Sus scrofa: one gene and its partners. The protein of the gene in region 1 interacts with the protein of each later gene in a pairwise test. Links are inferred from orthologs where the notes say so. Each region holds a gene or a part of one and is shown in the gene's direction. Other genes may lie near its edges.

Evidence for each region.
Region 2: the proteins of RABAC1 (region 1) and MIEF2 interact in binary tests that used the Homo sapiens proteins (3 or more experiments, as listed by UniProt). The two-hybrid records come from large-scale screens. The link is inferred for Sus scrofa from reciprocal best matches to the Homo sapiens genes RABAC1 and MIEF2.
Region 3: the proteins of RABAC1 (region 1) and TRIM32 interact in binary tests that used the Homo sapiens proteins (3 or more experiments, as listed by UniProt). The two-hybrid records come from large-scale screens. The link is inferred for Sus scrofa from reciprocal best matches to the Homo sapiens genes RABAC1 and TRIM32.

What each region holds. Positions count from the first base shown.
Region 1 is NC_010448.4:49,930,851-49,937,991, forward strand, and holds RABAC1 (prenylated Rab acceptor protein 1), read left to right. Parts: upstream 1-2,588; 5' UTR 2,589-2,737; coding exon 2,738-2,793; intron 2,794-3,044; coding exon 3,045-3,257; intron 3,258-3,537; coding exon 3,538-3,635; intron 3,636-5,093; coding exon 5,094-5,195; intron 5,196-5,279; coding exon 5,280-5,368; 3' UTR 5,369-5,526; downstream 5,527-7,141. UniProt on the Homo sapiens protein: General Rab protein regulator required for vesicle formation from the Golgi complex. May control vesicle docking and fusion by mediating the action of Rab GTPases to the SNARE complexes.
Region 2 is NC_010454.4:60,470,031-60,474,203, reverse strand, and holds the end of MIEF2 (mitochondrial dynamics protein MID49), read left to right. Parts: intron 1-735; coding exon 736-893; intron 894-1,044; coding exon 1,045-1,225; intron 1,226-1,728; coding exon 1,729-2,819; 3' UTR 2,820-3,559; downstream 3,560-4,173. UniProt on the Homo sapiens protein: Mitochondrial outer membrane protein involved in the regulation of mitochondrial organization.
Region 3 is NC_010443.5:257,059,469-257,064,590, forward strand, and holds part of TRIM32 (E3 ubiquitin-protein ligase TRIM32), read left to right. Parts: intron 1-4,378; coding exon 4,379-5,122. UniProt on the Homo sapiens protein: E3 ubiquitin ligase that plays a role in various biological processes including neural stem cell differentiation, innate immunity, inflammatory resonse and autophagy.

The sequences.
Region 1 (7,141 bases):
CTTGGGACTCCTCCACTACAGTTCCCTGCCTATTGCTCCACCAGTCCAATTGGCGGGCCTGTCCTCCTCATCTCATGAGAAAGCCCTCCAGCAGGCCTCAAAGCCCAAGTCTGAAAGGGCACTGATCCCTGAAGACAGAGTTAAGAGCTACCTGATGTCCCACGTGGGTGTTCTCCTTCAGCCCCACCCAGCCTGGGAAAATGAGGACCAGTCTGTGTAAGGGAGCCCAGGCTTCTGGATACTGCCACACACACTTGTTTTTCCTTTCTTTCTTTCTTTTTTAGGACTGCACCCACAGAATATGGAAGTTCCCAGGCTAGGGATCAAATTAGAGCTACAGTTCATGGCCACAGCCACAGCCACGGCCACAGCCACTGAAATGCCAGGTCTGAGCCTCGTCTTCGACCTATACCACAGCTCACAGCAATGCCAGAGCCTTAACCCACTGAGCGAGGCCAGGGATCAAACCCACAACCTCATGGAACACCTCCACATAATTTTCTTTTTTTTTTTTTCTTTTTTTTTTTTTGTCTTTTTGTTGTTGTTGTTATTGTTGCTATTTCTTGGGCCGCTCCCGCGGCATATGGAGGTTCCCAGGCTAGGGGTCAGATCGGAGCTGCAGCCACCGGCCTACGCCAGAGCCACAGCAACGCGGGATCCAAGCTGCGTCTGCAACCTACACCACAGCTCACAGCAACGCCAGATCGTTAACCCACTGAGCAAGGGCAGGGACTGAACCCGCAACCTCATGGTTCCTAGTCAGATTCGTTAACCACTGCGCCACGACGGGAACTCCTCTTTTTTTTTTTTTTTTTTTTTTTTTTTTTGTCTTTTTGCCTTTTTCTTGGGCTGCTCCCGAGGCATATGGAGGTTCCCAGGCTAGGGGTCCAATCGGAGCTGTAGCCGCCGGCCTACGCCAGAGCCACAGCAACACAGGATCCGAGCCACATCTGCGACCTACACCACAGCTCACGGCAACGCCGGATCGTTAACCCACTGAGCAAGGGCAGGTTCCTAGTCAGATTCATTAACCACTGCGCCATGACGGGAACTCCCCACATAATTTTCTTGAGGCCATATTCTAGGGCATCTCTTTAGAATTCTGGCCGGTTTTCCACAGCTCATTCAGGAGCAAAGACTGAGAGAACCATGGCTGTGGGGACCCGGGGAGAGACAGGCGGCCCACGTGGCAGACACCAGTCCCTCTTTGGGACATCCAAGGGGCCAGCAGCAGCAACTACGTTACAGACATATTTGAGAAGGCTGAACTCTAGAAATAATCATAACATTCATGACAATGTAGTGGCAAAAACAACATCACCATTTATTGAGTGGTTATAAAATAGCAAGACTCTTTCAAGCACTTCACATGGATCATTCAACCCAACCTTAACCCATGAGTGTGGAACCAGGATGATCTTCACTGTCCAATGAAGACAGGGAGTTGATGAAATCAACACAGGCTGGATTTTGACCTCTGACCCAAGAAATCCAGTTCTTTTAGTTGTAACTACTCCGTCTTTTAAAAATTCTCAGAGTTCCCATCATGGCTCAGTGGTAACAAACCCAACAAGTATCCATGGGGACGCGTATTTGATCCTTGGCCTTGCTCAGTGGGTTAAGTGTCTGGCGTTGCTGTGAGCTGTGGTGTAGGTCACAGATGTGCCTCGGATCCCGCCTTGCTGTGGCTGTGGTGTGGGCCAGCAGCTGCAGCTCTGATTCGACCCCTAGCCTGGGAACCTCCACATGCCACGGGTGTGGCCCTAAAATGACAATAAATAAATAAATAAAAATTAAAAATTAAAATCCCTCATTCCCCTCAATAAAACTGGAATAAAAAAAGATTAAAAAAAAAAAAAAACAACTCACCCCTTTACTTTCCCCTACTTCCCTTTACCCTCTCCATAGCAGGGGCATCCTTGAGGTCCTAATCCTAACCCATCCATCCTTAGGAGCCCAGAGTTGTGGGGGAGCTTTGCTCCCCATCTTAGATAACCCCCTTCAGCAACCATGGCCCCCTCACTAGCCTTTGAAGAAGGATGGAATGGATTCCTACAAATATTCTACAGTCTCACTATTCAAATGTGGTCCATGAGTTCCCTGGTGGCTCAGGATCCCCCACTGTCACTGCTGTGCTAGGGTTGCTGCTGTGGCTAGGGTTCGATCCTTAGCCAGAAAACGTAGCATGTCCCCACCCACCCCACTCCCTGCCTGCCACAAAAAAAAAAAAAGAGCCAGTGAATGGGTCTCACCCCAGATCTGATAAATCAGAACATCTGAGTGTTTAATCACGGTTTTTTTTAATATCCTTAGAGTCAGAATGACAGCCCTACACAGTCCCCACTGTACAGAGACTGCTCGGGGTAGTACACGACGTCTTCTGCCTTTACACTCCCCCGACACCCTGACTCCTGACAGCTCACTTTCTCTGACCTCGCACGTCCTACCTTTGAAACTACAACTCCCACAATGCCCCCGAGGCACCCACGTCGCTTTACGCGACTACATCTCCCAAGGTGCTCCTCGAGCCATGCAGCCACCAGGGCGCCTACTCTCCCCGACATCGTCAGGACTACAACTCCCATAATACTCCGTGACAAACCTACCGCCCCCAGCGGCGCCGGAACGGCGCCACGTCCCCTCCGGCCACTTCGAGTGAGGCCGGTTTCGGGCGGGGCCCGTGGGGTGTGGAGGGCCCCAGCCTCGTTACAGCGGTTCTTCCCCTCACAACACAGACATGGCGGCCGAGAAGGACCAGCAGAAGGATGCCGAGGCGGAAGGGCTGAGCGCCACGTAAGCAAGTCTAATCTAGCCCCCCTGACCTAGACCCGAGAGTCATGGCTTCTCGCCCCTCATCCCTGGGGAGTTAGGAATCCGGACTCCTGGCCCCGGCTCAATCCCTTCCTCCCCTGGAATCCAGGAGTCCTGGACCATATCTCCCCCGCCCCCCAGAACCCCGGAGTCCCGCTCCCCTCGGCCCCCTTCTTGCTCGGGGGTCCGGGCTCCAACCCGGTCTACCGCTGACCTGGTCCCGCACCCCCCAGGACCCTGCTGCCGAAACTGATTCCCTCTGGCGCGGGCCGTGAGTGGCTGGAGCGGCGCCGTGCTACCATCCGCCCCTGGGGCTCCTTCGTGGACCAGCGGCGTTTTTCGCGTCCCCGCAACCTGGGCGAGCTTTGCCAGCGCCTCGTACGCAACGTGGAATACTACCAAAGCAACTATGTGTTTGTGTTCCTGGGCCTCATCCTGTACTGCGTGTGAGTGTCTCTCTGGCCAGAACAGCCCCCCTCAGCCAGGCCCCGCCCCCGCCAGGCTGCCATGTCTGCACTGGCCAGGCCCTGTCCCCATGGGATAGCTCTGTGGGATCTTTACCCCAGAGGACCAGGTCCCTACTCCATCAGCCTGGCTGGGATGCAGGGGGACCAAACATGACCTAGACTTGCGTGGTCCTAAGGACGTCCCCAGGTGTAGAAGGTCAGGGCCTTCGTGTCTGACGCAGCCCCAGCGGCCTGACTGTGCCTCCCTGCCCTCCTCCAGGGTAACATCGCCCATGCTGCTGGTAGCTCTGGCTGTCTTCTTTGGCGCCTGTTACATCCTCTATCTGCGCACGTTGCAGTCCAAGTTTGTGCTGTTTGGTGAGAAATCTGCCCAAACTCCTCTGATCCTGGCTCTTTGAATCCAAGCCTTAGACCTCAAACCTGAGTCCTTTTGAACCCAAGTCTGCCCAATCCTAGACCTACAGTAGATTCCCCATACCCACACCTGATGCTCCTATCCACTCTCAGTCCCCCCAAATTGCTGTTTCCCAAACCCAGAAGATATCCAAGAACCACTCCACCTAGCCGCTGGCCTTTTAAACCTCCTCCTTCTCTCTCCCTCATCTGCCAAAAGCATCAGCTGCAAGTACCCACATTGGACGCCAGGTGGCGACTTTACTCTAGCCTAAATCTGTCCTCCCCCTTTCGTGCTTCCTGGGATGGGAGTAGAAAAATCTTGGGACTTCTCAGAGGGAAGCTGAGGCCTGTGGCTCATGTGGTCCTAGACTGGCACCAAGCACCACTGGGAAGAAAGAGGGCCTGAGTTCCCAACTAAGGGAAACTCAAGGTTTGGAGTGGAGATAAGGGGGAGTTGGAATCAAAGAAACAGGTAGACCTAAGACAGAATCCATCAGAAGCCTGCCAGTTATGTATCTGGTAAGGGTGGGCTGGGTGGAGGAGCATGTCAGGCGAGCACAGGGCACAGAGGGAGCGTCCAGAGCATAGTCACAACTTGTCTTCAGCCACTGCTGCCGCCAGGGTTTGCAAGTCTGACTTTCCAATCTGCCACAAGAAGCCAGATGTCTATACAGCCATCTCTCAGCTTTTCTAGGAGCCCCCAGATTTTGGATACCCAAATCCGAGGATGCTCAAGTTGCTGATGTAGCAATGATGTAGTACAGTGACCCACGGGTGCCCATCTGCGGATACAGAGGGCCGACTGTATTGCTGTGTGAAATCATTCTGTCTGTATGTCAGCAGCAAATCAACAAATCGTGGCTCAGCGGTTAACAAGCCTGACTAGGTTCCACGAGGATGCGGGTTCGACCCCTGGCCTCGCTCAGGGTGTTAAGGATCTGGTGTTGCCGTGAGCTGTGGTGTAGGTTGCAGACGTGTCTCGGATCTCGCGTTGTTGTGGCTGTGGATCTGATTCGACCCCTAGCCTGGAAACTTCCATGTGCTGTGGGTGCGGCCCTAAAAAGCAAAAAAATTATTGTGGAATAATATGCAAACTCAAAAAACATGTCTAGGTGTCAGCCTGGGCCTTTGGGATGCCAGTTGGAAAACCCAGGTCTATGCGAGGGCAGGTTGGAGCAGGAAAGCTGTAGTTTGGGGAGGGAGAGTCTGGGAGCTTCCTAGCAGAAGTAAAGTTGAAGGGTGGAGGGCGGTGGGGGGGATTACTGAGGAAGGTGCACTGTTTCAGGGGACAGTGGGTGGGGACGCTGGGGAAATGGCTGGGGCCGGACTTGGAGGGCCTTGGCATAAGGCATTTTGGGGGTTACTCTGGGAGAGGGGACAGGTGTGGAACAGCTGTCCCAATGCCATCTGCCCCCCCAGGCCGAGAGGTGAGCCCCGCCCATCAGTATGCCCTGGCCGGGGGCGTCTCCTTTCCCTTCTTCTGGCTGGCTGGCGCGGGATCCGCCGTCTTCTGGGTCCTAGGTGAGTGAGTACAGGGTCTCGGTGGCGCGGTGGGCAGTGGGGGCCGGGGAGGCAGCAGGCCCTGAGCTGCCCGTTTTCCCCCAGGAGCCACCCTCGTGGTCATCGGCTCCCACGCCGCCTTCCACCAGATAGAGGCTGTGGACGGGGAGGAGCTGCAGATGGAACCTGTGTGAGGTGTCTTCAAGGACATGTCGGCCTCCCAAGCCAGCTGCCCCGTCCCTTCTCAGCCCCATCCCGCATGGCTCTGCTCTTGCCAAAGGCCCCCTTCCCATTACAAGCCCAGGGAGGGACTCCAGCTTTGGAAATAAAGCTGTTACAGTTGTTCAGCAAATATTCTCCCAGGGTCTTCTGTGCATGTGTGCAGGGTGATGTGGGATCCTCCAGGGACCAAGAAGGTGGGGGAAGGGCCCCTGGCAGGGGGAGACAATAAGCAAGATAAATAGCGCCATTGGCCAGTGGGCATGAGTTCTGAGGAGGAGAAGACACCACGCTCATGTTCAGTGATGTGCCAGGAGGACTCAGGACTCAGCAGTTCCAGTTCTACGTGGAATCTGGCATTGTCGCTGCTGGGCTTGAGTCGCTGCTGTGACCCGAGAACTTCCATGAGCATGGATGTGGCCAGAAAAAAAAATGTACGCTCAGCTGAGGTTATTGTTGTGAAAGGCTATAAAGCAAAATCAGCAAAGGTAGAGTTCCTGTTGTGGCTCAGTGGAAATGAACCTAATATCTATGAGGACACAGGTTCGATCCCTGGCCCCGCTCAGGGGTTAAGGATCTGGTGTTACTGTGAGCTGTGGTGTAGGTTGCAGACACGTCTCGGATATGGCATTGCTGTGGCTGTGGTGTAGGCTGGCAGCTGCAGCTCCAATTTGACCCCTAGCCTGGGAACCTCTGTATGTACTTGAGGCCCTAAAAAAAGAAAAAGAAAAGAAAAAGAAAAAATTATCAAAGGAAGAAGGCACATAGGGTGAAGTCCCAAGGAAAACCAGGCACAAGCTTCCAGAGTCCTCTCCCAGTGGCCTCGCCCCAGGTTGCATTAAAATGCCCCCAGTGAGGAGTTCCCGTCGTGGCGCAGTGGTTAATGAATCCGACTAGGAACCATGAGGTTGCGGGTTCAGTCCCTGCCCTTGCTCAGTGGGTTAATGATACGGCATTGCCGTGAGCTGTGATGTAGGTTGCAGACGCAGCTTGGATCCCGTGTTGCTGTGGCTCTGGCGTAGGCCAGTGGCTACAGCTCCGATTCGACCCCTAGCCTGGGAACCTCCATATGCCGTGGGAGCGGCCCAAAAAATAGAAAAAAGACAAAAAATAAATAAATTAAAAAAAAATAAAATGCCCCCAGCAGTGAGCCGTGACACACACGGGTACAGTGTCTGCCAGGGAAGGTCATGATGACACTCAGACCCAGGACTATTACTGGGACGGGGGTGGGGTGGGGGGGTGGCCACATAAGCACCATCTGTCTGGCATGGACCAGAATTCCAGAGTCCCAGAAGGAAAGCGGATGTTCAGCATAAACAACATTGTTTGCACAAACAGCTTAGACACAAGACTGCCCTGTCGGGGAGCAGTGAGGACCTGCTGAAATCCAGGTATCTAGATGCCAGCCAAGGGCCACTGTGTGAGCCAGCCTCCCTAAGGAGAGCCTACTACCTTAACCCTTCTGCACAGAAAGACCTGGAGATACATTATAGGTTAAAGAAGGCCTCCCTGAGGTGACAAGTGAAGATTCAAGGTACAAAGACCTTGCCTGGAGGTTTGGGGGAGAGTGACTGGAGCAGACTGGGTGCGGGGAGTCGGGTGTGGGAAGTGACGCAGTTTGCTTTTCATTGTAATGTGGGGACCACTGACAAAAGAGAGACCTAGTAGGGAAAGCACTTGGCAGGTGTGACAACAAAGTGAGGTGATAGGGGATGAAAAGCTACGTCAGATGAGCTTGGCCTGGG
Region 2 (4,173 bases), on another chromosome or scaffold:
CACAGTGGGGCCTTTAACCTCCTCTGGCACATACCTGTTGCAGGTAGCTCCTGCCCCCACCCCCGGGGCAGCGACCTCGCTTTCTCAGACTCGACAGTTCTGCCTCTGGGGGCTGCCCTGCTGAGACTGGCGGGTGGGGGGTTATAGCTGAGGCCCCCTGAGCTTCACTGAGGTGACCCCAAAGGTCTGAGAGGGGTTCAGGGCAAGCTGCTAGGACCCCAAGCTGTGGCCTTCTCTGGGCCTTGGTTTCCTCCAGCTTTGCCAGCCCTGGTCAGAAACCAGGACGAGGCCACCCCTGGGACCTGACCGTGGGGAGGGTGAGGGTCTAGAGGCTTTGCACTCACCGTGTGGGTCAGCCACCTGATTCTCTGCAAAGTGGGGGTGGTGGCAGTGAGATCCATCTCATTCACGGTCTCTGGCGACGTCGGGGGTCCTGAGGGTGGGATGGATGTGGCCTCCCTTCCCTGCCCTGCCGTGGGCCTCAGGGCCTTCCCTCTGAGACCCGGGGGGCTGGTTGTTTGCAGGTTTGGGTGGGGCACTTGGGCAGGGAGGCCTCCCAGGAAACCCTGCAAGTGGCCCCATTCTCAGAAGTTCTCAGGAAGCCCCCTGACTCAGTGACCCTGGCATGATGTCACCCTGCTGTCCTGCTGACAGGCTGGCCATGCCCCCCCCCCACCCCAGCTGAGCAGTCACTGTGCCCTGGCTCTCTTACACTGTGCCCTGGCTCTCTTACAGGTGGACCAACCATGGCAGAGTTCTCCCAGAATCGGGGCAAGCGGCGTGACGGCGAGGCGCTGGGCAGCGCTGTGGACTTTCTCCTGGCCAATGCCCGCCTGGTGCTGGGTGTGGGCGGGGCTGCCGTGCTGGGCATTGCCACGCTGGCTGTGAAGCGGGTACGGTGGGGCTGGCCAGAGTGGGCCAGGGGTGGTGGGAGTGCCCGAGGCTACACCTGCCTCTGCCCCACCAGCCTAGATCGCTTTGCCCTTGGCTCTGCTGCGGCTGCCTGGGCTTCAGATGCCCTCATCCATGTCACTCTGCCTGCAGCTCATCGACAGGGCCACCAGCTCTCAGGATGAGGCTGATGCCAAGGGGGACGCCACGTGCCTGGAGGAGAGCTGGAAGGAACTGAGCCTGCTCAAGGCCACGCCGTGCCTCCAGCGTCGGCCCCCACCCGCCGCCCTCAGCCAGTCGGTGCCACTCCGGGCCCCCTCACCCTCTGCCCCAGGTGAGCTGACGCCTCCCGTCTGACCTGGGTGGGCCCCTTATTTGGTGGTCGTGTTCTGGAGACGCAGCCCAGGCTCTGCCACTGACTCACCGAATGACCCACGAGGGGCCTGGCTCCCCCCCGGCCTTGGGCTCCCTGAATTTTAGTGACGTGTTTCTCTGCCCTTCCTCCTCCTGGGGGACTGAGGCTCCAACCATCAGGACGTGGGGACCCCAGGGGTGGCGCTGGAGCGAGGTGGCAGCGTTGCGACAGTGGGGGCCCTCTGATGGGGAAGCTGAGCACCGGGCCCGTGTCCCACCCTGTTGAAGCTGTTTTAGTTAGCCTCAGGGTGCTGGGGACCTTGGGGAATTTGTCACCGAGCTCGCTGTGCATGAGAGCCCGAGCGCAGTGCTTTCTCAGGAGGTCCCATCACAGGCGAGGGGAGCGAGGCCCCGGGCCGTCGCAGAGTCAGCTGCTGGCTGGGCAGGGTCCCACTGACACCCCCCGGCCCCTTCACTCTGCAGAGGTGCCCGCAGACGCAGATCCCCAGAAGGCGCCTCAGCTCAGCTCCCCAGCGCCATCCTTGTGCCTGACGTTCCAGGAGAAGCTGCTGGCATTCGAGCGGGACTACGTGACCGTCCCGGTGGCTCACGTGACTCTGGCCAAGCAGCTGGCCGGTGATATTGCCCTGGAGCTGCAGGCCTACTTGCGGAACAAGTTCCCAGAGCTGCCCTTCGGGGCACTGGTGCCTGGCGGGCCGCTCTACGATGGGCTGCAGGCAGGAGCCACTGACCCCGTGCGTCTCCTGGTGCCCTTGGCACTGGAGCCGGGCCTGTGGAGCCTGGTGCCCGGTGTGGACACTGTGGCTCAGGACCCTCGCTGCTGGGCCGTGCGCAGAACTCAGCTGGAGTTCCGCCCTCGTGGGAGCAGCCCCTGGGACCGCTTCCTGGTGGGCGGCTACCTCTCCTCCCGCGTCCTGCTGGAGCTGCTCCGCAAGGCCCTGACCGCCTCCGTCAACTGGCCGGCCATCGGCAGCCTCCTCGGGTGTCTGATCCGGCCACGCGTGGCCTCAGAGGAGCTGCTGCTCGAGGTCCAGCACGAGCGTCTGGAGCTCACCGTGGCTGTGCTCCTCGCTGTCGCCGGCGCCCCGGCTGGAGAGCGCCTCCTGCTGGCCTGGCCCTTGGAGGGGCTGGCAGGGAACCTCTGGCTGCAGGACTTGTATTCTGCGGAGGCCGCCAGGCTGCGGGCCCTGGATGAGGGCGATGCTGGGACCCGCCGGAGGCTGCTGCTGCTGCTCTGCGGTGTCTGCCACCGCCACCCGGTGCTGGGGCGGCTGGGCCGCAGCCACCTGACCCAGGTGGTCCTGCGCCTGGGGGAGGAGGCGGCCGACTGGGCCGAGGAGGCCCTGGGGGAGCGCTTCCTGCAGGCCCTGGAGTCTCTCATCGGCAGCCTGGAGCGGGCCAGCCTGCCCTGCCACTTCAACCACCGCGTGGACCTCCTGGGCGGCCTGCGGGACGAGGACATTGATGACCTGGGCTGTGCGCTCTTCCGTGGGCTGCAGGCCCCTGAACAGCTGCTGCCCCCGGTGCTTGGAGAGCCCCTTTCTCTTGCTTGAGCCAGAACACGAGGGTGCAGGTAGGCACGGGCTGGGCGACAGCGCTGGAGCCCGGGGCCGCCTGCACTCGCACTTGGCTCTTCGGCCTGGGGCTGCCCCGACCCCCAGTCACAAGCAGCGAGTTACAGACAGAGCCGGGCTCTTGCTGTCCCCCTAGGGGCGAGACTGCTCGGCTTTCCTGTCCCAAGAGAGAGTCGCAATTTCTTTAGTGCCAGTTGTGGGCATCGCAAAGCTGCTGGGCTGTGGCCACTGTGTCTGTTTCACTCCCGGTGGCTGGAGTCACCTGTGGCACACGGCTCTCTGCTGACTTAAAGGCCAGCGTTTTCAACGCTGTGCCCGCTCTGCTCGTCCGGCTGTAGCCTGGAGTGGGGCCCACTTCACGCTTCAGGAGAGGCTGTTTCCCGCTCCCCACCAGCCGGGCGAGTGGAGGCCCCAGGAGAACCCTGTCCTCACTGGGGGAGCCGAGGTCCTCCGTGGCGCCCGCCTGGCCCAGAGCCGAGGGTGTCCCCTGGCTGCCACTGCACCCAGCTCCTGGGGTGCCTGCACCAGCTGTGCCCTCCTGAAGCTGGTGGGGCTGGGGGCTGGGGAGGGGGTCTCACCTGTCTCTGGTCTCCTTCCTGCTGAAGCAAAGCTCTCTGCCTTGAGGACTGAAGGAGAATAAAGGAAAAGCCCGTGTCTGTGGGGCTCACGCTGGCCTGACACGCAGGTTTTTGAGCCCGGCCAGAGGGGCTTGGGACCAAACCGAAGTGGTGGCCTTGATGGGAAAGTAGGTGGCAGGGAAGGAGAACGCCACGAGATGCTGGACAGAGTCGACGGGAACCCACTAGGCAGGACTTTGTTTACCATCCGACGCGGGAGCCCTGGAGCTTCCTGGGAGGGGGGCTGCCCGGGAGCCCTTGGGCCAGGCCTGTCACTGCAGAGGGAGGGCCAGCTCCCCACCTCGTAGAGACAGGGAGGCCAGTGCGTCTCTGTCCCCATGGGAGCCGTGGCTGTGGCTCACTTCCTTGTCACCACAGACTTAGCATCTCGCCCAGCTCCCCTACAGGCCTGCATCCGACCAAAGCCGAGCACTCTGGGGTCTTGGGCACCAACAGGTGAAGCGCTGCTGGACGCTTCCGGGGAGCAGGTGGGACACCAGTGGGGTCAGGGGCCCTCCTGGATGACCCGACCTCACACGTGTCCCTTCTGTAGCCTCGTGCTTCACAGGTCTGCTCCTCTCACCTCACTTTAGTGAGAAAAAGCAAGGACAGGGAGCTCCCTGGTGGCCCAGTGGTTAGGACTCAGTGGCTTCACTGCTGCAGCCTGGGCTCCATCCCTAGTCTGGGAACTGAGATCCCACCTCAAGTCACTGCAC
Region 3 (5,122 bases), on another chromosome or scaffold:
GCCACAGAAGCAACCTGGTGCTGGATCCTTAACTTGCTCTGCCACAAGAGAACTCTTCCAGGCTAAGCACTTCATAGGCATTATGCCCAGTTATCATTATAACCTTTTTATAAAGTAATAAAACAGGTTTAGTGAGGTTAAAATAACTTGCCTACTGTCCCACAACATGTAAATGACATGCTGATTTGATGCCAGCTCTGATTTCAATGTATGTGGGTTTTTTGGGTTTTGTTTTTGTTCTCTTACTCTTGTTATTTTTATCATGGACTGGGGAAAGCCTGGTGGTGCCAGAAGCAGCTAGATCAGACTAGGGTATGACTATAGAATTTTCCTGAGTCTTAGGGCAGCTGGAGAAAACACAGCTTACCGGGTGGATTTTCATCTGGAGCTGAATCACAGCAGGGCTAGTATCAGTATGGAGTGCAGAGGCTTAAGCGTGAGATCAAAGGAATTAGGCGGGAGTAAACTAAGGTGAGTTGAAGTGAGGGGTCAAGAGTTGACAGTGCAAAGTACACAACAGGAAATACATGCAAGGTATCAGGAAGGCAGCCAAAATTGTAAACAACATGTGGGGGGTTCATTCTGATTGTTTTTAACTGGCAGAAAATGGGCAGCTAACTTAAAGACTTGGGATAATAAGACAGTTCCTTTCACACATCTGTCTTTTCAGGGAAACTGAGCTCAAACTGACTTCCCATCTGAATCTTTCTTCATATTAACAAGTAATGACCAGCTGTATCTTTCTGGAAGAGAGGGGCTGTATCTGCCTGTCACATAGCTGCTTATCAGGCTAGGCTTCTGATGAAAGAAGTGCTCCCAGGTCGTGGAAATAGGAGACACAGTTCAGGCTTTTTCCAGGTCTATGGCTAACTCCGTGCCTGATGCTTTAGCGATGGGAACTCATGTTTCCTGGCAAAGCACGGCAGCTTTAGGACAGGAATCCCTGACATTCTCTTCTGCCAAAGGGAGCCTAGTGAAGCTGCAGACCGCTGAGATTATTTGGGGAATAGATGTGGGCATAGTATATTCATTTTTTTAAAGTGGATGGCTTAAACAGGGAGGCAGGGAGCCTTTTAATTGTAGGAGGTGGTATGATATTCCAGAAAACTGGGAAAGAATTTGCTGGTAATTTTACAAGTTGGCAGACTTGTTGAATTATCTGATGTGCAGTGCCAGTTCTGGGAGGAACAGATGTCCCTCGCACTATAAGGTAACATGCTCTGGAACCAAATTCCAAACGTTGCCCTCAGTCTGTTGTCCCAGATGATGGAAGAGAGAACTGAAGCTCTTGGTTTGGAACTGGAGGAGGTTTGTATGGATCCTGAGTGGGGGTTTCTAACAGTATTTCTATACCATTACACCCAGACCCATGACATTGAAGAAGTCAGCATTCACAGCTTCTAGGTTCATGATAGGTGGTAATGTGTTATTTTGTTGAGGTATGGATTTGAGTCATAATAGGTTGTAGGGATGGCACGTGGGAGTGGGTCACTCAACTAATAAATCAACCTAACCTACTCTGTGGCAGCTAAATCACATTGTTATTATTCTTTCTTAATTATGGAGAAAATTCTATGCTATAAGGCAGCATTTCCCAGAGTATGGTCTAGAGAACAATATCATTGTGTTATACGATAGTTTAAAAAAAAAAGTCTTGAAGTAATATTGAGTTAAAAAAGCTAAAGATATCCGTACTGCACGGTTCCACTATGTTTGTATCATGTGGCCTTGAGCCAGTTTTTCTGAGCTTTAGCTTCTTCATCTTTGAAATAGGGTCATAAAAAACAGTACATCATAGGGTCATTATGAAGGTTAAATGAGATTAGGTACGTGGAGCATCTAGCATGCTATCCAGCACATAGTAGGCACCAGATGTGTACTCTTTCCCTTCTAGTTGAAGGGAGTGAGATTGACTCAAGGCACATTGTGCAAATCTGCTACAGAATGTTTATCAGACTGTGAGGCAAGGCAAACTATGGGAAAACTCTGCAGTATGTATCTCTGAACTGACGCCCCTTCTTCTATGTGGGTGGAGAAAGAATTGATGACATTTGCAGAGCTTTTCTCAGCTTGCTGCATTGTCCTTAAAACCCAAGCTAACTTGCCCTCCTCCTCCTTATCCTGGATGGTTGACCATCTGCAGATCACGAGCCTGTGCAGGTGCAGCTGTAGGATTTGCACGTAGGAAGTGCTGAATTTATCCATGTGCCTCACCTTGCTAGATCCACCCTTTCTAATTTGGGGATAGACTTTGACATTGACATAAGGCAGCAGGGCACTGAGATCTCTGTGGTTCTACTTCATGAGCATATGTGGATCAAGGAGGAGGGAGAATTCATGGCATGGACTGCTTGTAGGAGGGAGTGTTTCAGGCCCAAAATATACTCTCCTAATAAGGCACTGCCATTTTTCAAATCATCTAGGCTTTCTTAGCTCCACCACTTCCCCACCCTAATCCACTCAGCTGACAGATCTTGGTGATTGTACTTATGGAATACTGCCCAAATGCATCTTGTTTCCATTTCCACCACCTGCTCCCTAGTTTAGGCTCCCCATAACCTCCACCAGGCAGTTTTGCAGTATCTTCCAAACTAGTTTCTCTGCCCTTTCCCCCCACTCCACTTAATCATTTTAGTTCCCTGCTCCAAAACATGCTTTGCTTCTCAGTGCTCATCAGAATGAAGTTCCCAGGTCTCACTTTGGCTCTGATGACATAATCATTCCCCAGTTTCCCTTTCCAAACCAGTTATTCTAATCCCCCTGTATTCTTCCACATGTTTTTTTTTTTTTTTTTTTTTTGCTTTTTTTAGGGCCTCATACATGGCATATGGAAGTTGCTAGGCTAAGGGTCGAATCCGAGCTACAGCCGCCGGCCTACACCACAGCCACAGCCATGCCAGATCCGAGCTGCTTTAGCGACCTATACCACAGCTCACGGCAACAACACCCCATCCTTAATGCCCTGAGCGGGGCCAGGGATTGAACCCGCATCCTCATGGATACTAGTTGGGTTCATTACTGCTGAGCCACAACAGGAACTCCTCTCCTACAATTTTAACCTAAGGATGAGAGGAAAGAGAACTAAATTTTATTTAAAACTTTTTGGTGCTAAGCTAAGTCAGAATTTTATACACTACATATATGATCTCATTTAATCCTTGCATTAGCCTCTAATGGCAGTATTCTCATTTTACAGAAGAGGAAACTCACTCAGAGAGTTTCTTTCTAATACACTGAAGTTCTTGTCCTTTCCCTTGCTTTTCAGCCTTTGTTAAGACTGCCCTTTTGCCTGGTAGCCTTTTCCCCCCATTTCCACATATCTGTGCATCTATCCAGGACCCTATCAAATGCCATCTCCCCTCACAAAATCCTGTTTCCCTCCAACTGGAGTGACTGTCTCTTCACCTCTGTCAGACTTAGTCTATAACCTGTTTATGATATTACTTTCTGTCTTGACTGTTATTTACCTACATGTCTTGTTTTCTTTCCTAAAGTTTGAACATTTGAAGGGCAGGATTTGTGTCCTGAGAAACCTTATTATCAATCTAGTACAATACATGATACTTAGATAGATAGGTTGGTAGGTGAGTAAATAGGAGGACAGATGAAAGAGAAATACATGTGATTTTCTACCTAATGTTTTGCTGATCACCTAAAGCTAAACATCATTAATTTTCTGTTTCTGTATTTGATTCCTAGGACCCCAAATATGACATGATAGACTCTATGTAACACAATAAAATAAAAACCTCCATGCTTTTGTTCACACAGTGATGTTTGCTTAAAATGCTTTTATCCCTCATTGCCTTGTGCTTTAAAGACATCTCAGGAGTGTGCTTCTCGGAAGCCTTCTCTAGTTCCTCTGGGCAGAATCTGTTCCTCCATTCACTGCGTTCCTGCAGAACCTTGTATATAATCCTTTCCTGAACGTATTTTTTCTGTGCTTTTCTCCTAATATAAAGTATGAGTTGTAGACTTTAAAAAAAAAAAATGATCACTAACATTTAGGAAGCATACTGCTTTCCAAGTGCTATACTAAGTGCATCATATTATTTAATCCTTCCCTAAAACATATAAAGTAGACATCATTATTATTTAAACTTTATAGGTGAGTGATGGGGCAGCTGAGTTTGGGGAAGTTTAAGTTACTTCCTTAAGGTCACATAACTAGTATCAGAGACTCTAGAACCTGAAGTCTCACCCACTCATGCAGCACTTAGTTTCCCCTTGTAGTACCGTCAGCTAACACGGAATGGATTTGAGTAAATACTTATTAAATAAGTCAGCGACTGAATGAGTGATGGGAGCCATTCTCTACACGTGTCTTGAGTGCGTTAACTCATGGAGGCGGGGAATAATGGCTTCTTTTTCTCTTTAGCAGGACTTGGCCCTCTGGAGCATGTACACTAGGCTGTTCAGTCCTGGGCTGTGCTAGCAGCCCCTTCACAGGAAGAGCAATGGCTGCAGCCGCAGCCTCTCACCTGAACCTGGATGCCCTCCGGGAAGTGCTGGAATGCCCCATCTGCATGGAGTCCTTCACAGAGGAGCAGCTGCGGCCCAAGCTCCTGCACTGTGGCCATACCATCTGCCGCCAGTGCCTGGAGAAGCTGCTGGCCAGCAGCATCAACGGCGTGCGCTGTCCCTTTTGCAGTAAGATTACCCGCATAACCAGCCTGAGCCAGCTGACGGACAACCTGACCGTGCTGAAGATCATTGACACGGCTGGGCTCAGCGAGGCCGTGGGGCTGCTCATGTGCCGGGCCTGCGGGCGGCGGCTGCCCCGGCAGTTCTGCCGGAGCTGCAGCGTGGTGTTATGTGAGCCCTGCCGGGAGGCGGACCACCAGCCTCCCGGCCACTGCACGCTCCCTGTCAAAGAGGCCGCCGAGGAGCGGCGCCGGGACTTTGGAGAGAAGTTGGCCCGTCTACGGGAGCTCATGGGGGAGCTGCAGCGGCGGAAGGTGGCCTTGGAAGGTGTCTCCAAGGACCTGCAGGCACGGTATAAAGCCGTTCTCCAGGAGTACGGGCACGAGGAGCGCCGGGTCCAGGAGGAGCTGGCTCGCTCTCGGAAGTTCTTCACAGGCTCTTTGGCTGAGGTTGAAAAGTCCAACAGTCAAGTGGTGGA